2 linked regions of the Drosophila melanogaster genome follow. The protein of the gene in region 2 interacts with the protein of the main gene of each other region in a biochemical or structural test. Each region holds a gene or a part of one and is shown on either strand. Other genes may lie near its edges. The genes, in order: grp and Mcm5.

The links.
Region 1: of the proteins of Mcm5 (region 2) and grp, one has a biochemical effect on the other in vitro, tested with the Drosophila melanogaster proteins (one study listed by BioGRID).

The regions. Positions count from the first base shown.
Region 1 is NT_033779.5:16,676,165-16,686,807, forward strand, and holds the start of grp (grapes), read left to right. Parts: upstream 1-3,889; 5' UTR 3,890-4,112; intron 4,113-4,285; exon of another isoform or gene 4,286-4,486; intron 4,487-4,541; exon of another isoform or gene 4,542-4,554; coding exon of another isoform or gene 4,555-5,280; exon of another isoform or gene 5,281-5,489; intron 5,490-5,654; exon of another isoform or gene 5,655-5,734; coding exon of another isoform or gene 5,735-6,202; exon of another isoform or gene 6,203-6,238; intron 6,239-6,338; exon of another isoform or gene 6,339-6,454; coding exon of another isoform or gene 6,455-6,928; exon of another isoform or gene 6,929-7,126; intron 7,127-7,445; exon of another isoform or gene 7,446-7,844; intron 7,845-8,333; 5' UTR 8,334-8,443; intron 8,444-9,225; exon of another isoform or gene 9,226-9,777; intron 9,778-10,643. Other genes in the region: her (hermaphrodite), read left to right, coding at 1,219-2,085, 2,154-2,417, 2,479-2,811; squ (squash), read left to right, coding at 4,555-5,280; CG31807 (uncharacterized protein), read right to left, coding at 5,735-6,202; CG33552 (uncharacterized protein), read left to right, coding at 6,455-6,928. UniProt on the Drosophila melanogaster protein: Serine/threonine-protein kinase which is required for checkpoint-mediated cell cycle arrest and activation of DNA repair in response to the presence of DNA damage or unreplicated DNA.
Region 2 is NT_033777.3:10,783,379-10,793,891, reverse strand, and holds Mcm5 (minichromosome maintenance 5), read right to left. Parts: upstream 5,369-10,513; 5' UTR 5,228-5,368; coding exon 5,076-5,227; intron 5,022-5,075; coding exon 3,911-5,021; intron 3,853-3,910; coding exon 3,031-3,852; intron 2,968-3,030; coding exon 2,851-2,967; 3' UTR 2,742-2,850; downstream 1-2,741. Other genes in the region: CG14687 (uncharacterized protein), read right to left, coding at 443-859; Art1 (arginine methyltransferase 1), read left to right, coding at 5,778-5,780, 5,844-6,119, 6,188-6,417, 6,505-7,126; Rbp1 (RNA-binding protein 1), read right to left, coding at 8,372-8,489, 8,969-9,285; mRpL37 (mitochondrial ribosomal protein L37), read left to right, coding at 9,883-10,058, 10,121-10,468. UniProt on the Drosophila melanogaster protein: Acts as a component of the Mcm2-7 complex (Mcm complex) which is the putative replicative helicase essential for 'once per cell cycle' DNA replication initiation and elongation in eukaryotic cells.

The sequences.
Region 1 (10,643 bases), on a different chromosome or scaffold from region 2:
AACCGGAAGTGCACACACACACACACACACACACTCATAGCCAAAACCACCACACCAACACACTCAAGTACTTTTTCATATATTTTTTTTCTACGGTTTGGTAACTTTTAAGAGGGTGTTTGACCCATAAATGAATTTATGCCAATTTAGAACGGCAAACACAGTTGTGGGCTTGGAAAAACTTCGGTTAGGGGGATTAAGCATTGGGCGGGGGCGTTGGCTAACCAATTAAAGCGAGTTTTTTTTTTGGGGGTTGTTTATTTATTTAGTATTCCCTGTTGCTTTTGCAGGGGCAGCATAACCGGATATATTTGTGCAATTATTTTAATGGCCTAGGCAATAACACAGAAACACACACAAACACACAAATGACTAGTGGCTAGCCCATTTTTTATTTGAAATTTACTTTCTTTGCTCGAGCTTTTCTTTTGCCTTTGGCCAAATAATTTTGGCTTTAATAATTAAAAGTATTTTGGGTTGCCCGCTGTTTTCCGAGTTTCTCGTGCGCCTTGGCCAGCAGTCGACTTGCAACTGAGCAAGTGAAAAAGTCGAAACAGCTGAAAAAGTGCAAGGACTCCCGATCCCAAAACCGATTCCTACAGACCAGACGAACTCTGAACCGAGTTTAAATGTCTGTGGGGGTATTTCTATTCAATGGTGGCCCCAAAAACTCAATGAAAACGGCAAGCCGGCTGCAGGCGATGCAGCGCGCATGTGTCCTGTAGTAAAACGGCGGCAAGGATAATGACCTCTTCGAGGTGCAGGTCGCTTCTGCATGGGCGAAAAAAACCGTTGGTGGAAGGTAAGAATTTCTTTTAGATTTTATATTCCCTTTTCTACTTGATGTTCTCAAATTTTTTTTTTTCCTTATTCCCAATTTGTTAAAACCTCACTTTACAGCAATTTTAAAAAGTCCGCGCAACATAACAGCGATTAGGAACACTGTCACTGTAATAATCTTTGCAGTACTTTTTTTGCGGTAGTTGTGAATTTCGTATCCCGTGACTTTTGTTGAATAATCGATATCAACGAACAGTAATCGATATGTGCTCTAAACAAACAAACATGTAATTAAAATTAATTAAAATACGGACAGTTTGTTTACCCCAAAACAGATAGTTTAGTGATCCACCGAAATGAGTGTGTTCCCAAGATATCCAAACACCAGGCTAGACCTGTAGCATTAATAATATTGTGGTCTTATTGTGGACTTTTGCAATGCTTAGTGCGGATCGGGATTCGGTGGAGGAAGAATATGGATCGTGCTCGGCCTGGAAATTCCGTTGCAGCGTGGACAGGTGCCCCTACAGGACGAACAGACCCTACAATCTGGCGCGTCATGAGGAGTCCCACATTGGTATTACGCAGTCCAAGCTATACGGATGCCCCGTTTGCGTTTACAACACCGACAAGGCGTCGAACCTGAAGCGGCACGTGTCTATCAAACATCCTGGGTGCAAAAAGCGCCCTCCGGAAGCGCAGCACAAGGATCGCAATGCCAAGTTGCAGTGCCTGGTGATGGGATGCAGATACGAGACAAATCGTCCATACGACCTCAAGCGCCACTTGATGGTGCACAACAATCCGGAGAAGAGCCACAGGACGTTTAAGTGCTCCCTTTGCACCTACAGCTCCGACCGAAAGGCCAATCTCAAGCGGCACCACGAGCTACGCCATTCGGGCATAGAGGAGGCCATTCAAACTGCGGAGGAACTGCGCCAGGAGATGCTGCTGGAGAAGCAAATGCTGAAGGAACATAAGCTAAAATATCAGATCACAGAGAAACAGGATTTGAAGAATCTAAAGTTGAAGGACCAAAAGCAGAAGGTGCAAATGCTGAGGGATCAGCAACCGAAACAAAGGCAAAAGAAAGAACAGTTGCTGGAGGACCAGAGTCCTGTGCTGAATAAGCAGCTGGAGCACGGAAATATTCCTTTAAAAGAAGCCCTGGTAGGCAGTATGAAATACGACGAGGAAAGTTTGGAATTTGTTTACGAGGAACTGCAGGAGGAGGAGCAGCCGCCCATCATCACCATTAGCAACCCGCAGATTCTCCATGGAGACATCCGGGATAAGCACGTCATCGTAAGCATTGCAAAATGTAGTTGTTAAATTCGCTCTTCAATCATTAACAACATTTACAATGTTTGCAGGCTGTCAACGTTGATGGCCAGTTGCGATGGTTCCAGTCAATAGATCCACCGCCGGGAGCTCCAACAAAATTGGAGCTGCCCATAAAGAGCACTTCAATTTCTGTCCAGCAGCAAATGGACGAATTAGACGATGAGTTGGCCATGTCCCTTGCCGAAGAAGATCAGCAGGATGAGTTTCTTGTGCCAATGCTGAGCGGAGAGGAACCAGTTAAAATAAAACAATCATCGCTGACCGATCTGGCTTGGAGTTGGAGTACGCCGGATGTAAGAAAGAACTATAAACGAAAAAAACGAACTTTTCCTAACAATGTTTTTATCACTAAAGGCTGTACATCACATAAGTCCCAAAGCGGAACTCAAGAAGGACCTTAAAGCTGGCGATGCAGATACAGATTTTCCAGATTGGTGGGATGATGGCAAGTACACAAAGATGCAAAAGAACCAAACATTTGCAAAGCACTCAAAGAAGCCGTCGCAGGAGAATGTGCAACGCATCCTGCGCATCATCTATGACATTTACTACAAACCCTTCAAGGAAGATCGCAAGCAGTTCGAGGCATTTCAAATTAAGGACTCCTGGCTGTGCGCGACTCGAATGACTCGCATGCAGATAATCAAGGACATGTACTCTAAACAGGGCACGTTAAGTCAAACTTGATGATAAAAAATGTATCATCCCTTTGGTATTTGTATAAGAATACCATTAAGTTGTTTACTATTTAAAGTGTAAAGTAAACGAATTAAGAAAATCCCAAGTACTTTAAAACTAGTTAATTAACCTTTAATTTAAGCCCAAAAACAAGTATAGGAGTAGTTTAAAAAAGAAAGAATACTATAGTCGAGATCCCCGACTATCATATAACCGTTACTCAGCTAGTGTGAATGCGAACGCGAAATTTAATCCTCTGGGATATTAATAAATATTGTATAATGTGAAAAAATTTAAAAAAAATTCAAACGTGTGGGCGTGACCGGTTTGGCGGCTTTAGGGCGTTGGAATGGGCGTGGCAAAAAGTTTTTTGGCAAATCGATAGAAATTTAAGCGACTAATAAAATTATGAAAAATATCCAACAATTTTTTTTTTAAATATGGGCGTGTCAGTTTTGTGCGGTTTGTGGGCGTCGCAACATGGGTTCCGCTGCGTCTTTATCTCTAGAATATGTATGCTAAATCTCAACCTTCTAGCTTTTAAAGTTTCTGATATCTCGTCGTTCATACGGACAGACGGACATGACTAGATCGACTCGGCTATTGATTCTGATCAAGAATATATACTTATATATAAATATATACACTTTATATAGTCGGAAACGCTTTCTTCTGCATGTTACATACTTTTCAACGAATCTAGTATACCCTTTTACTCTACGAGTAACGAGTATATTTTAGGAATTGTGTTATTCAATAAATTGTGTGTTGAAAATGTCTACACTACGATCGATTATTGAAGAAAAAATAAATTCAATGAAAATTAAAAACAATTAGTCAATAATTATATATTATTTTAAATATGACTATTTATAGTACCGGATAATAATCATATTTAAAAAAGTGTATTTAATATTAACAGCTAAATACTGTAATGATTTTAAGCTAAATACAAATAAAATCAGCTAAATACTGAAATCACAAATTTATGTGCCTTGTGATTTTCGACGATCGATACTTGGGATCCGAAACGGATAACCATCGATATCAGCGATTTACTGGAGAAATCGATAGCTTGCACTGTGCATCCAGTTTTGCTCCAGCCCTATCGCAAACTAAAGTATATTTTAGCAGCGTTTGCGGAATTTTTTGCATTTCAGTTACTCCAAGTGTGAATAAGAGCACGGTCGCTGTTATAGTGTCTTGCAAAGCAGTGAATTAAAAAAGTTTAATAATCCAAATCGAGAATCCCAAATTTGTGTAGACGTAGCAACAACAGTAAAACGCGCTGGCCGGAAAAGACGCTGCTGGTGAGTTGGAATAGTGGTGCATAAATTAGGAATGTATATATGCTGATTCGTGGGGCATTACCCTTTGTTTATTTAATGACTTGCTTGCTGCACCCCGCTCCCCCTTCCTTAACCTTTTGTTTAACTTTTTGGCGCAATATTATTCACCTTGACCACGCACCGGTGTGCAAAAGATTCACCGCACACCGGTGCACTTAAATTCACCACAGCCTTAATAATTCTTACGGCATTTCCGTGCTCAATGGTGAATGGTCGCACTGAAACTATTCTTTGAAAATAACGGAGTAAACATTCAGTCTCAGATTCTGAGAACTTGTTGACAGTGTAGCTGTTCAATTGTTTTCATGGCGAGTTCTCGGAGTATTTTTTGTTAGGTGAGTTTTAGGTTATGTCTGATGTCAGAAAATTAACAAATAAATTTCGCCTAAGACAACGCACGATCATGGCATGGGTTCCCAATTCGCAGTTCGAGGATGATCTGGTCGACATGGAGCCGGATTTCAATTTTGTCCATGGTCAACTGGCCTACGACATGAAGAAGCAAGGGGAGTTTTGGCCGCGACCGAAATGCACATATGAATATCTGAAGTCCCGGGAAAAGAGGAATTCCGAGCTCGAAAATATCCATGGAAGCAGAGGCGGAACTGGTCGTGATATTCGGCAAAGCCTTCAGCTAATGGAGAACATACAGAAGATAGCAGGCACAAGGCCGCTGGGCGAGCACGCCACTATGAAAGATTGGGAGGATGAAAGCACAAATGAGCTAGAGGCGTTAGCCATGATGCGTCACTTCGGAATGATGTCCATGGCAACAGATTCGCTGCCCGTTCTGCCCGAAGTAAAACCACCAGAAGGACCCATTAAAATTATAAGAAACGGACGGAAACAATTTCCCCTCATCACAGACCCCGAATTTTTTAAACCACGCAAGATTCCCCGAACGAAGAATTCCAGTTCCAGTAGTTCGTATCATACTGCCAATAGTTCAATCAGTTCCTTCAGCCTTTATGAATCTGCCGCTTCAGATTTGGACAGCAGCAAGAAGCAGGGCGAGATCAAGGCGTCAAAGTCGGAGAAATACCTCGAAGTACCTTACAAACAGCTTGCGGAGAGTTACGACCAGGAAGTGGAATCACCAGTCCAATTTGGAAACCAATTCAATGAATGAAGGAGGAACCAACGGGGAATGCAATTATTAGAACCAAAAAATCAATCACTTTTTATATATAAGCTTCTGTAACATGTAAATAAACGGCTTAAACGTCGTTTAGAAAACCGAATTTATATTGGATGCAGTTCTACAAATAGAAAGAAAAATACTTGATATCATAGGGTAAACAAAATATTTATCTATTTTAATAAATTAAATGCGAAAGGAATGTTAGTGCTGTAGAATTCAATATATCCTTAAATGAATTTTTTTATATTAATTTATTGTTGCAAATGCATGTTTCCCAAACCATTTGGTAATTATTCAATTGTATCCCCTCCTAAATATGAAAAAATTGGAATATAGTCGGAAATATAATCGAGGTATTAAAATTTATGTTTATCGATTAAATCGATCGCGCTTATCAACGCACTATATTATAGCTAGAACATCGTATTTATAGAAAATAATTTTATGGCGTGTTTAATAACACACGCCAGACGTCTCTTTCAATAGCTACTTTGCGGCATATTGGGCACATATCGGCATGCTGCAAGTGGGTCCGGATGCACATCTCCCCAAAAAGGTGACCACATCTAAGCGAAACCAAGCGGTGATGATCCTTCGCTTCCCAAGGATCCAGGCATATGCAGCAAGTATTTTCGATGGCAATCTTCTCAAGCTGCTGTGTTAATTCGTCCTTGGACTCGAACAACAACTGCTCTTGCAATAATTTCTGATTGGTTATCTCTTCTTCCATTTGGTAATATAGCTTGAGTTCCTCCTCGCGCATTTTATCCTTCTCTTGAGTTGTAATATTTAGCTTCGCCAGTTGCTTGTCCTTTTGCTCACTTTTTTTCCTTTCCGCTAAGAGCTGCTCAACAACATCCTTCTTCAGCATCCTCATCAACGAGCGAGTCTGGGCTTTGTTATTGGGCATATTGTAAAGAAATTAAAATTACAAGGTGAACGAATTTTTTAGACAAGCACTTTTAGAACGAATGTCTTCTCAGTGAAGGTTTAAGCGTGGACTGCCTAGATTGAACAAAATTATTTTTTCTTGTAATCATTAGAATTAGTTGTGTGTTGCATTTTCCAACACAGCCAACATATTTACAGCTGTCAAAAAAAAAATCCATTTCAAAATAAAACTCGACTGTAATATTTGCGAATCGTTCACATCGAAAACGAGATGGATAAACAAGATATTACAAAGATGACCAAGAAAAAACTCATCGTTGAGGTCATTAAGCAGCGAAAACGGAACAAAGAAAAGGACGAAATCATCAAGGATAGTTTCGAGTCCAAAAAGCGTTTAATTGATCTGCGACTGCAACTGGACAAGGAGAAGAACATAACGAAGGAGTTGCGACTGAGGCTAGCGGCGCAGGACGCGATTGCGAATCAAGCGGAGAACCTGTCTATGAAACGAAAGAAGATCGCCGAAGAGAACAAGTGCTACATTTGCAAATGGAATTATGAGGTTACCGGAGACCATCGCCCAGTTTCAATTAAATGCGGTCACCTTTTTGGAGCGAATTGCATACTACATTACTTGCAGCGTAACAAGACATGCCCCATCTGCAAATCACAGATGATCCGCTGTATGGATGTTCGCATTATTATAGCAGGTCAAAATTTGTGCACGGCTGAATTATTACAGTAAACATTACATTTGCTGGGAAGTTGGACAAAATAAAAACCCAAGCAAAAGAAACAAGAGAAATTAATATTTTCTTGTATGTTTGTGATAATTAAACCACCACAATCATTTTCTCAATTTTTATTCAATTTCCCTTATTCAATCAATAGATGATTTGAACATTTGGCAAGCGTATATCGCAAGTGGAGTGAGACCCCCCGTAATTCCTTAATCAATAAACCACACTCCACTATATGCATACATAAATAATTTGTTATTGTTTTTGTGTGCGGGAACTATTATTATCAATTAAGCAATAATCTGTCGCAGAGTTTGCCAAATAACATTGAGAAAGTGGCTCACGTAATAAAGTAGAGGGAATTTGAAAAGTAGTGTAGTAGTAGTAGTAAAAGAATCAAGTTAAATAATAACGTTAATGTAGGTACATATGTATTGCTTAAAAATATAAATATTTTAGTGCATTTACTAATGTAGAGCAAGGTCCTTATCTGACTAATTGAATCAGGCTACAGTAACTTACTGGCTAAATTAGCAAACTTGTGCTGAGTTTTGGCGGTGCGAGTTGTCTGTCTCCTTTTTGTGGTGGCTGCTTCTCTCCCGTTTATTTTCGCGTGCATCTTCTCTTCCCGCCCGAGAAAAGTGTGAACTCACGAACACACGCAGCCAAAAGTTTTTAGTTCCGTGGCAACCACGTGCGTCTTTTGTTTCCTTTTTTCTTCTCTTGCGATTTTCCTTACTTCGCTCCCTTTTCTTCTATTCGCCGGGGTTGTCAAGCAGAAGTTTTGTTGTTATAAGTGGTGAAATGGATGCTGAAGTTGTTGTGTTTTATGCATAGGCCTGATGCTATTGTACGCAGTTGTACATCAATATCCAAACAAACCTACATACATACATACGTACATAAATAAATATGGATGTTGTCAGCGAAAAGTAGTCAAACCAAAGGATGGTGGTGAAAACTGTAGATGATGTGGGGGGGGGGGGTCTCTCTATATGTACATATGTATGGTTGTATGTTAACAAGTCTGGAGTCGCGGTCTTATTCGATGAGTGAAAGACGAAGCAAAATCAAAAATAAAGAAGCAATTCGACAAATGGCGCAAGCTATTAAAATAAATATGTACAATGTGCAAGCACTTTTTTTCGGGTGGACCCAAATTTTCACTTCGAAATATCCGTTAAAGTGTACCAAACTGAAATCTTTTTTTGTATTAATTGTTAGATTGCTGCATTTAAACCAAAAGCATTAAAAATATGAAAACATTTTTGGTTGGTTCTATTTGATTTCTCTTGACGCGCATTCTTATCAAAGCTTTAACTTTGTTTATACTTTAAGCGCATTCAAGTGTCTTTAATTTGTATACCTACCCCTAATCCAATTTCAATGTTTCAAATTTCGCTATATTAGGTAGTGATTCCCAATCAGCTTTGTTTACAAGGTCCACTCCAATTCCTACGCACTCGAGTTGTGGCGAGAGTTTTTTATGCGACATCAACTGAAGCTGGAGCTGCCGAAAGGTAAGCAGCGCACAGGGCAACTTAAAACGTTTACCAAAAAAAAATTCCTAATTTGTTGTTTAAAATATAAAATTATTAGGATTGGAAAAGGTTGATATCTTTTATTTGTGTATAATTTTTCAATTAAAAATAAAATCTCAAATTTACTGTACCGATACCACTGTGCAATGGTTGATGGAAGAGTGGAGTAAAGAAAAAGGAGCAACAGCCCTCGCCGGTAGCCGGCTTTCAGCCTCTGCTGCCACGAACAGAGCTCCCGTTCGGGCACTGTGGGGTTAGAAAAGTTTTAAGTTACATTATTTCGCTATTATTTTAATATGGGTATTAGTATTTGTAAAGATTTAAAAAAGAAAAGTTGAGAACTATTATGATATTCCATCCTGAATTCGATAAAAAAATAGTTAGAAAAACTATGATAGGGAGATATGTATATTAATACGTTTTTTGTCAAGGACTGAAATCCTTTTACTAAACGTATAATTGTACAAATTATACGTTTATGTCAATATAATTCGATCATGTATAGATGATTATTAAATAATAATAATGGAATAGTTAAACAATGGTCCGTCCCACTGTGCACTGCTGAACTTGAGCGAGAGAGCAAGTTGAACTTGCCAAATGCTGTGCGGAAGAGGAAGAGCGAGAGGATTTCTCCAACCCCTTCCCGCCTATCGTTTTTGGCGCGCGCAAGCGTAAGCTCTCCCTGCTCTCGCGGCCTCTCCGACGCTCTCTGGAAGTTTCGAGTTTCTTTCGAGGCTTTCTCGGTTCGGCGAACCTAGGCGGCAGTTTGATTTCAACTCTCAGACAGGACGAAGCGCCTGCCACAGGATATGGCTGGGAAACTATAGTGGAAACCTACGCCGCTATGTAATAGTAAATTAATAGTAGTTCTCTACTACTGCAGTAGTAGGCGGCGCTTTTCAATCGTATTGAAAGGAATACAATGACGGGGGCAAGAGAGAAACGAACGGAGAAAGAGTGCACGGACCACGAGGCTGTTTCATTAAAATTGGGATACAGACAAAACGTGGCTCGCAGGATACCGGATACGTCTGTGTGCGTGTGTGTGCCGCATCCATTCAGGAGGCTAAGAAAAAGGACGGCACACAGTTTTCAGTGGTGACTTTCTCGGCAAAATCCTAAAAAAGGACAAAACGGTTCGGTTCCTATTTGGTTTCTCGACTTTCGGTCTTCGGGGTAGTTCCTTAGTCTCTCAGAATAGCAAGATGATAAACCTGAAAAAGAAGAAGAAGCCGTCCAAGAAGCAGCTTCGCAAAAATTCCGCGCTTTGGCTCTCAATCGCCAACAATTCGTCGGAAATCAAGAAAAATGTAAGAAACAAATATTTTTAAACATAACTTGTCATTAAATATTTAGGTAAGCCAAAAACAACATGGTTGCGACATTCGATAGTAATCTTTAAATGCATAAAGTTTACACAAAGGAAAAATTATTCCTTTGTTACTAAACATAATATCGAAATCAGAAAAATTGATATATTTATGTTTGAAAATCAACATATTTTGTTAAATTGATCAACTTTTAAATAGGAACTATAAAATTACATAGGCATGTACTAAATTTATGTAAATGGATTTATGTAGATGAACAATCAACTTTTCTTTTGGGATCACAGCTTGAAATTAAAATCATATTCAAATCAGATTCCTTAGGATTTGTTTATTTATTTAGGGCATAGAAATATGAATAAATTAAAATTCTATTCTATGCTGTAATAAAATTACAGAATTCGCATTTTTGTTAGGCCCGTACAAATCCAACGTCAACTTAACAGAAGTACTTAAAAACCACAACAAATTGCACACGCGGCATTTAATTTATATTTTTCCAGCCGCTCTTTGCGTTTTTTCCCCCTCCATTTATTTTATTTTTGTGCAAGGCCCGCGAAATAAAAAGGAAAATCTCGAGGTTAGCAGCGGAGCAATGAGAAAAGCAACAAACAAAAAATACATATATGAAAATAAAAAACGCCAGAAAAAACTGGCAGCGCTGGTCTGGCCACTTGTCCGTCTGTCTGCCAGCCTGTTAAGCCCGTCCTTTTCTCTCACTGTACCGGTGTATTGGTGTGTATCTGTGTGGCTCGTTTTTATGGCCATGCAATATCTTTTTTCATTTCTGGCTTTCCTGTTCGCAGCCTCCATCTTCTGCGGACGCTTCTTCTTCTCCTGCAGCTTGT
Region 2 (10,513 bases):
ACTGAATCCCAAAGAATACATTCGCTAGCCAGCTATTAAATAGGTTCTATTAAAAAAAAATAAGACACGCCTCTAACTTTGTGCTCCCTAAAAACCATTCTTTGCAACTATCGTATTGTGTTTTCCGTTTCGTCAGTTTCCATCAAGTGCTACGTGTTCGATGAACAAAATGTTTATTCACTGTATTCATACCATATACATACAGCACGGTATACCAAAAATAGGCCTAGAGAAAACACAAACAATTTGGATCTCGTTAATGGATAGTGGTGTCTTTCAAGATTGCGGTTTCTTGAGTAAGAGTATTTTATTCATCTGGAAGCTATCAGTTAATATTAATCTATTTACACGACACGTATTGAACTAAGCGGTAGGATTTGAATACAAATATTTGTATGTACAGTAGAAATCAGAGTTGTGGAACGACCAGCGCGCAAAGTCATTACACAATGGGCTCGCATTGTTTCAATTCTTTGCGTGTTTTGAATCCCCGGAAGCCAGCCTGAATTTTAACAGCGGCATCGGTGGCGATTTTCTGCTTCTTTCGCACCAGGAATCCCCGGAATCCCGCCTGTATCTTGGTGGCACTACGATCCTCCACGGATTTACCACCATTCTCGGTGGCCGTATGCTGATCCTCGCCGCTGGGACGGGGATTTCCCGTATTGTTCTGGTTTTCCATGAGGCCGTTGTTCTTTGGACGCTGTCGCTGATTCCGCCTGGGATGGGGATTCTTGCTGGATCGATGGATCTCTTTGCGCACACGGTAGCCACGAAATCCGGCCTGAATCTTAATGGCCGCACTCTCTTCGGACTGCAAGGACGATGCTGATTCCGGTGAGCTGGGGTAAATGTACATGATCCTCTGGTGCACTGCAACAAAAATGGCAATCTGAGTCCGCGTTTCTATCCAACAAATACGGCTTTCATCGGTTGTAGCTCTCTGTTCCGGACGAACTCGCTCGCTCGAGATCTAAAATTGTACTGGCGTACGGCGGACGTAGGCTTGGCATATGTACGGCGAGAATTTTCATTTTCATTCACAAAACAAAGGCCCCACTCAGCGATTTTCCTCTCGCACCTCCCTACATATAGCTTACATGGGCCTTTTGTATATACACCTCTGGCCCGGCGGACCAGAATCCCATCCGTTTGCTCTCCCGCGAGAATGGGAAGGAATCCACGGATGCTGATGACGTTCAAGAATTTCTGTTTCACAAAGTATACAAACGTGTTGGAAACAATTATCTAATTTCGCCAGCGCCCCCAATTGTGTGCAGTCTAATTAACAGACATATAATAATTGTGATCGGTTGCGTAATATATCCAGTATATATCTCAAATATCAATATATACTATTAGGGCTTAGCTCGTGTTGACAATAATCCATCACGCAGGAATCACTATTTTTGACAATTTTTTTACGATGTCTAGGGACCTACGTAGCGGGTGATGGACAAAAAAAAAAAACCGAGTAAATTGGTTTAGGTGAAAAGCGAACTTATACACATGGTACACATGGATCCATAGCTACATTTCCATGTGCAATGAAAAGAACATCGGTGCAACGCTTTGTTAATGGAAACGATGAACTGACACAGGCAGAGGTAATTGAAAAAATACATACACTCGTGTGTGCATCAATATCGGAATATGAATTTCAATTAATCTCTTATTGTTTGATGTTTGAATTATCTTGACCCTGGGTTCGGATGCAAAGTTCAAAGTACCACTATGTTATTAAATTGAGAAAACATCATACATACATGTACTATGTGTTTAAATGTGTAGCTGACTTAAATGGAAATTATCGTCACAAATAAATTATATCTATTTTCATAGCCTGGGTGTTCTTTTTTTTATTGATATTGGGCCCATGATCTTCTGGAATTTTTCTAAAACGTCTAGAGAAACATGTTTCTAATTCGCCCTCAATAAATTTTAGACCAACTTGACGTCATTCGGACCTTAAAACGCAGCAAAGTGGCGTCAGTTGGGAAAAATGTACGAGAAATAAATATTATTGTTAGGACTTTTTAAATAATACAGTCATTCCGCAAATGTTCCGTGATAAACAAGATTGTAAAGATTTCCTTCCGGAAATTCATAAATTTGGAATGCCTACATATACATATACATATATATACATTTGCCATTGTTTTTAAATGGCCAAAAGCGAGCATACGTAACACGCTTACGTATTTTTGAAAATTCGTGCACATTTTGAGTACATTTCAGTTTTCAAATGTATGTAAGTACATAGATGTGCATGCGCAAATATACTAATTGAGTTTTGTATAAAAGGAAGTAATAAACGTTCTCAAACAGAGGAAAAAATATTTTTAAGAAATTGGCAAGTGGCCAAGGCAATATGATTGGTTTTTGTGATTTGTCCGAATGACGTAGGCAAACACAGTCGAATGTAGAGCGAAATTGTCGGTTTGCGCGAAAATTTGGAGGCCGACCAAAGGGTCTATGTGTTTCGACCAAGCATTATCAACAAACAGAATTTAGACATTGCTTATAATCTCATTTTTTAAATGTAAACAATCATAAATATTTACCAAACATATAGTCTGCCGGCTCGACTGACTTATGCACTTGAAATACCTAGGATTTCCCACTACAAGTATCAGAGTATCTATTCTGTAAACTTCTAGCTATTAAATACATCACTGAATTATTGTTCAAATATTTAACAGAATTTGAATAAATAAAATAATGATTCAATTTGGTTTATTGGGAAAGAATGTAGTTTATCTTAATACTATAAATGGAAATACAAATAATGTGACGAAATGATTGAAGACATATTCAACGATGGACAAGAAATGAAGTGATTAACAGTGTTTAGCAAATTCGATAGAGCATCTTCCGTTGCATCCGGTGCTGCAGCTCTCCACGTCGGATCATGGTATGAATTACCTTCATTACCGTGCGTTCTTCGTATTTCTGACGCAAAAAGTCCTATGAAAAGCAAGCATTATAAATAAAAATTGTTCATTCGATTCATAAGACTTCTGTGCTTACCTGTAAGATATTCTGCTCCGATACTTGAGATCCAATTGCAAAGCGACGTTTCAATTGCTTTTCGATGCGGTTGAGTGTTTCCTGGTCCTCCTCGGTCGTGAATCCTTCGGCTCCAGCCAAGCTGCCAGTCATCGCAGCATCAAGGGTAGACACTTGGAAAAGTCGAAGTGCTTCGTTCACGTGCTCATCTGTGGCGAACGGTTGCAAACGAATCTTTGCCAGCGACTCCGAAATGCGGATGACAGCCTCCAACTGACGCACAGTGATGGGAATGCTTAGCCGCTTGTCAGATGCCTTCTCCTGCTGGCCGGCTCCACTGCGCATAAGCACGTAGCGGCTCTTTAGCTTCTCGCCGGCAGCTTCGCTCAGGCGCGGACCGCAATGAGTTCGGCAGTAGTGAATATACTTCTTGAACGTCGACAGCGATATCTCACCCTCAGCCGGCTCTGAAGGCGCTGACTTGTTAGAGCTCAGATGCACGTTGATGATGTGCTTGGCCAGCGTAATGTCCCGCGACTCATCGTGAATATCCTTTACAATGAAAATCATGTCGAAACGGGAGAGAATTGTGGGCATAAAGTCAATGTTCTCCTCGCCCTTGGTGTCGTCCCATCGACCGAAAATGGAGTTGGCAGCTGCCAAGACCGAACAGCGTGAGTTCAAGGTGGTCGTGATGCCGGCTTTGGCAATGGATATTGTCTGCTGTTCCATGGCCTCGTGAATGGCCACACGATCATCCTCTCGCATTTTGTCGAACTCATCAATACAAACCACGCCTCCATCGGCCAGCACCATGGCTCCACCCTCCATGACAAAGTTACGCTAAAGATTAATGTATCATTTAATTTGTAAGGATTAGGTGTGCAATGTTTTTTCTCACCGTTTGAGGATCCTTCATAACCGAAGCCGTGAGACCAGCCGCACTGGAGCCTTTGCCCGAAGTGTAGACTGCTATGGGTGCCACCTTCTCCACAAACTTTAACAACTGTGACTTGGCAGTACCAGGATCTCCCAGCAGTAAGACGTTAATGTCGCCTCGACGGCACAGACCATCCGGTAAACGCTTACGAGACCCGCCAAAAAGCATACAAGTTATAGCTTTCTTGATATCCCGAGAGCCGAAGATGCTGGGCGCCAGTGACTGTGAGAGACGTTCGTAGATGTCCCCAGAGGCGGCCATTCGCCGGAAGTGCTCCTCCTCATCGGATGTGATGTTGCTGTATCGGGAGATGGCACCCGCACCCTCTGAGTCGACGGTGATGCCCACCACCCTCATGTAAGGAGCACGGACTCCAACGACGGCTTTCTCGCGACCATCCCGACGCGAGGGTTTGCCCACCTTGCGAATGGAGTATATGCCCTGGATAAGCACGCGATTGCCGGGCACCACGCGTTCACAGAGCGAGCGATCGCAGAAGAGCTGCAAGTGGCGGGGAATCTCACCCTGTGGCACAAAGTCGGGGAGCTCTTGCAACTTAAGGGTCTGGAAATCGACGCACTTGCACTTGTCCGGCATGATGAAGAAGGGGTCCAGCGGGCACTTGGGTCTGCCCGCCTGCTCCGTGTTGCACTTCCTGGGTAGGGCGTAGCCCTCCAAACCTGGATTCACTTTGAGATTCGGTATGACCGTGCTGCAGGACAGGCATTGGATAGACATCCGCGTAGCCTTGGCACTTATTCCTGAGGCTGCGACAATGATTCCGGCGATCTTAACCAGCTTGGATACGCAGTCCGACTTCAACTGTCGTATGTTGGTGGGATTCGCATTGGAGCTCAGAAGAATCTGGATGTCGTGCATATGTTCCTCGTGCTCCGGCCGGGGAGCTGTGATCTCGTCGGCTACCTCCCGGGCAGCCTCCTCGAAGATTTCCAAATGCTCCGTCGGCTGCTTGTTCAGCTTGTCAGCCAAGGTCTCATCGAAGCCCACCAAATCCTCCATCTCAATCTCCAAGAAGTAGCGACCATTAAGATAGTTCCTCTTCAGGGTGTCACTGCAGGGGGATTACCTTAAATGGGGTTCAGATGAGGAGATGCAGTTCACTTACCGGTATTTGTAGAAAAAGTTCTCCTCGTTAAATGTCCGGATGAACTCCTTGTACTTCTTCTTTACCGCCTGCAAGTTGATTTGCGCATCCTGCTGGTTATCTCCGCCGAAATTGTCCGAAAAGAACACACCCGCATCGTCGAAGCCTTCCATTTTGATAGGGTAAACAAAGTTAAAAAGAAGAACTGAGGTAATAGACGCTACTTCTGCTTCGCTTTATATTTCGTTTTTTAGTAAATGCGATGTGCGAATATTTTGCCGCCAAAATTACCGGGCAAGCGGTAGCTAGAGATGAGCACTTACCAGTAAAACTATCGGATCTTATTTACAACTATCGATGAAACGTGTTTCCCAGTTTATGTATTTTTGTTAGCAGTGAAATAGGACCAATACAACAAGCATTGCAGCAGTTAATAAACCATGAACGTATTTATTATATCTTATTGATGTTATGACAAAGATTATTTTACTCGATTATATGGAACATGCCTTAGACAACTGACTCCAATTCTTCCCAGCTCAAAAATACTAAAATTTCAGAAAAATCCAATAATATCGAGCTGGCGATATTTGTTTCCAGCTTTTGTGCGGGGGCAGTGTTGATAAGCGACCTTTTAAACTAGCGTGCTGTAGAAACAGTCCCATCATTTAGTCGCCAATTTTTCGACGTGAAAAACCAAAGAGACGCCGAAGAAATTAGAAAATGGTAAGTTTTGGTCAAAATGTGACGGCAATCGACAGGCCAGTAGCTGACGAACCCGATTCGCAGGCCAGCACAGACATTCCCATGGAGGCAGCTGTGGAATCGGCGACCGGCATCACGCCCAATTCAAATGCGAACTCAAACAATGTGGCGAAGAAGCTGCCCGCGGAGGGCTCCACCGGTGATAATCCCAATGCCAACGCCGACGAGATGACGTCCCGCGACTATTACTTTGACTCCTATGCCCATTTCGGGATCCACGAGGAGATGCTCAAGGACGAAGTGCGCACCGTCACATACCGCAACGCCATGTACCACAACAAGCATCTGTTTCAGGGCAAGGTAGGGTTAACTTCCGGGGTTTCCCCATTTTTCGTAGCCCTTCTCACCGGGGTATCTCCTCTTTGCAGACCGTACTGGACGTGGGTTGCGGTACCGGCATTCTCTCCATGTTCGCTGCCAAAGCCGGTGCTGCTCAGGTGATTGCCGTCGACTGCTCCAACATCATTGAGTTTGCCCGCCAAGTGGTCATTGACAACAATCTGCAGGATGTAATCACGGTTGTCAAGGGCAAGATTGAGGAGATTGAGCTTCCAAATGGTATTGAGGGAGTGGACATTATTATTTCCGAGTGGATGGGGTAGGTTTTCATTTGTAGTTAAGCTTTTAAAAAGTGGTCATATTTGATTTAGCATATTAACCATTTTAATTTCTTTCCTTAATTTAGTTACTGCCTGTTCTACGAATCCATGCTGGATACAGTGTTGTACGCTCGGGACAAGTGGCTGAAGAAGGACGGCATGATGTTCCCAGATAGGGGCACGCTGTATATCACGGCCATCGAGGACAGACAGTACAAGGACGAGAAGATCAACTGGTGGGACGATGTCTACGGCTTCGACATGAGCTGCATTCGTAAGGTGGCCGTGACCGAGCCACTGGTCGACGTGGTCGATCCCAAGCAAGTGGTATCCACATCTTGCATGGTCAAGGAGGTGGATCTGTATACCGTGCAAAAGGCCGATCTTAACTTCTCGTCCAAGTTCAGCCTATGCATCAAGCGCAACGACTTCGTGCAGGCATTAGTCACCTACTTTAATATAGAGTTCACCAAGTGCCACAAGCGTCTTGGGTTCAGTACGTCACCAGACTCCACATACACGCATTGGAAGCAAACCGTGTTCTACCTCGATGACCACATGACGGCAAAGAAGAACGAGGAGATCACTGGCACGTTCCAGATGAAGCCCAACGAGCGGAACAACCGTGACCTGGACTTCGTCATCGACATTAATTTCAAGGGCGAATTGTCTCAAATTCAGGAGTCGAACACATACCGCATGCGCTAGGGGCAGCCATAACCAATCCGATCTGCCATTTGGGATGGGGCTCAGAGCCCTGCAGCGAGGATACATACAATGACTAGACGTAAGGTTTATTCCAGTGCGAAATGTGCAACGAATTCGTGTTGCGTCTTCTCCTAAGTTTAAAGTGTACCTTTGTTAGTATACATAATATTTTACACTCGTGCGCCTGTTTAAATTATTATTCGAACATACTTCTAAGCAAGTTGTACAGCAGCACGTCAATTCTCACATAATAAACAGTGCACTAAGCACGTCCCCTTTTGCTGGAAACAAACTGTTTTTGATGATATATGAAACCAATCAAAACTCGCTGATTGTGCGTCTTTATTTTTTAGTAAAAAAAAAAAAGGAATTTCAAGAATGCATCGAAAGATTTATATTGTCATCTGAAGTAAATTTACTTGGATCGCAATCGACATAGGAATTCCTACAGAAAATACGGCCTTGGCCGGCTTGTTCTTTGATGCGACACTGCTTAAACGATATCCTTTTGGAAACATTAATGACGATCCCGAGAATCCGAGCGACTTCGACGATCGCGCGAGAAGCTGCGGCTGCGGGGCGATCGGGAGCGACGTGGCGAACGTGACCTGAAATAAACGCATTGGTAAAGAAGAAATGATTACTTAAAAGCTTAATAAAATTATTTAAATCAGCTTAGAATGGTAAGAAGTGTATGTACATACGCGCCTTACAAAGAGCTGCAAAATAGGAGTGTTAAATACTGCTAAATAGTTACTTAAACTAATTACCAGGGGGAACAAAAATGAAAGCTGTGCAAACTGTTTTGTTTCTATGAATTAAGCTGTGAACCAATTAAGATAAGAGTATTATTGCTAATGCTGCTATTACATTTAGCTGCTGCAATTACATTTACTATCTATTACCAACTGATATCCTATAATTAGAGTTTAAAGCTTTCTACTTTGTCGGATACATATGCAATAAGAAAATGGTCGAACAAATCTATAGTAGCTGTGATCATCAGCGTTAAACGCGTTCAAGGCCAGTTTTCTCGACATCAGAGTCAAGTACTTGAGAAAGCGGACGAACCCTCATATCATAGGCAACTAAATTAAAGAAATAATTGTAAGCAATTATTTGAAGGATACGCAGGATAACTTTAAAAAAGAACTCTTTGGGCGACTGCATTGCTTCTTCTAGGATGAAATCATTTGGGTTGCTAATCAAAACTTCTGTGAGGCTGTGACGCTGAACATGGTTAATTTAGAGTTGCAAGTTGAAGGTTGCTGGCTGTGGCTGTGAAGATGGTTGCTGTTGTAGATTGTTGATGTTGTAGAAGGAAGAAGTAGCAGTGGAAGTAGTTCTAGCCGAAGGAGTTATCCTGAAAAAGTGTCGATAACTCGAATTTAACAACCACTAAATGATTGGATCGTAGATAATATATGTATACAGTTTGTAAGTTTGGTCTAAATAAAGTACCAAGTCAATTTTTAATTAGAAATGTTATGAATAGCGATGTGATGTCAGTTGGACATGAATAAAACAGCCTGCGAAGAAGTACTCATAAAACTGACATTTCGAAGGCTGTTCTATCACGTGCAGAAAAAGGCGGGAAAATGTACATGTTTGCTATTCGCAATTAATGTTTTTTGCGACGATTCCAATGAAATTTCGATAACAAATTTTATACGTTTTGATAAGGATTGATTAATTTTGACGGTTACAGGCAAGACCGCCATCATATGCTTAGAAACCTGAAGAAAGTACCCAATTTTTGGAGTCAAGTGATCCATTGTTCCATTTGGGAGACACATTGAGCCAAGTAACATGAGAAGTACAGTTTTTTTGTCGTGGAATTACCTGTAGCGTCCGGAACCAGAGCGACCACTACTGCCGCCTTCTCCGCGCCGGCGATCGCGCGAGCGACCCGAAGACATCTCTACGCGAATCCTAGTGCCGCAGCAGCGTGTTCCGTCCAGGGCACGCGTTGCGTCTTCCGCGTCACGGCGATCCTCAAATTCGACAAAGGCGAAACCTGGTGGATTGCGGGCCACCCACACGTTTCGCAGGGGTCCATATTTGGCAAATGCGCCTTCTATCTCGTGCTTGGACGCCGAGGAGCCCAGGTTTCCCACGTACACCTTGCAGGCCAAGTCCCACTCCCTATATCGCGGCATTTTTGTCGGGCGGTGCGGTATCGTGAGTATTGCGGGAGGTGAGCAAGCGGCTAAAACACGAGTATACGGGTTACTTATATTATCCGTGCAATGAGCTGTTGTATAAACACTAATTTCCACACTTACCTTCTAAAATGTCATCCAATTTTGTTAAAATTTTAACAAAAATCTCCGCCTTTCCTTTATTTATTACAATTACCGAAAAGTGTGACCAGACGCGGAAATAGTGGTGGCATCGAAAACCGATACATCGCTATCGCCAGTTTCTGATATGTTACATTTTCTTGTTATTAAATATTTTTATAATATTTCTCTAACCATTACAAGTGCCAAAAAAACAACAATTATAAGATATTGCAATTTCATTCACTAAAATTGTTAAATTATACGGCCTTATACAAGAAATTGAATACATATAAAATTAAAAATCACGATGTAACGATTTACAGCTTGAACCGTGGATGAAGTGATCACATCACTAATATTTATTGCCGATGGGGCAGGGAATTTCTCTCACCATCTGGCAGCACTGAGTTTCATAACCAGTCCGCCGGGCTTCATTTCATTGAACGAAAACATAAGCAAATCCTAACTTAAATGAGGCTGACGAACACTCTCTGTGCCCAGCACATCGGCTGGCATTTCAAGAAGCACTGGCTGGTCCAGGGTAGGCGAGTCCCCAAGGAAACTGGCGCCGCGGCGGAGCTCCTGAAGCTAGGTGTTCTGGTGAAGAATCCCGAGGATCTCTTGAACGCCAAAGTTGAAAAAAAACTGTGAGTATTAATGGGAAATATGTACTGATGGTAAAAGGTAACATATCTAACTTTACCTACAGAGTGGACATTGTTGGCGCACGCGAAAAACCCGTTCCCGAGGACAGCAGGCACCCTGACTGGCACCCCACAGTTTGCAACACTTACTCCGACAACAGCGTGCTAATTGGTGGATTGCCGCAGGCCCAGGTGCTGACCAACTCCATTGTGATCCAAACATTTCCCAAGCACATCGAGGATGCCATTGCAAGTCAGCAGTTGCCAAATTCCGTAGACAAGAGTGTCCGGCATGCGATTCTGGCATCCCACGTGCTTGATGCAGAGCAAGTCAAGCTGCCCAAGGTGAGGCTACCGGAGAGGCCGGCCTTTAACCTGCCCCGCTCCTACGGAATATCACACGAAAGGGTCAAGTAAGATCATATCTTTAAACTGTATCATAACATAAGTAAATAATA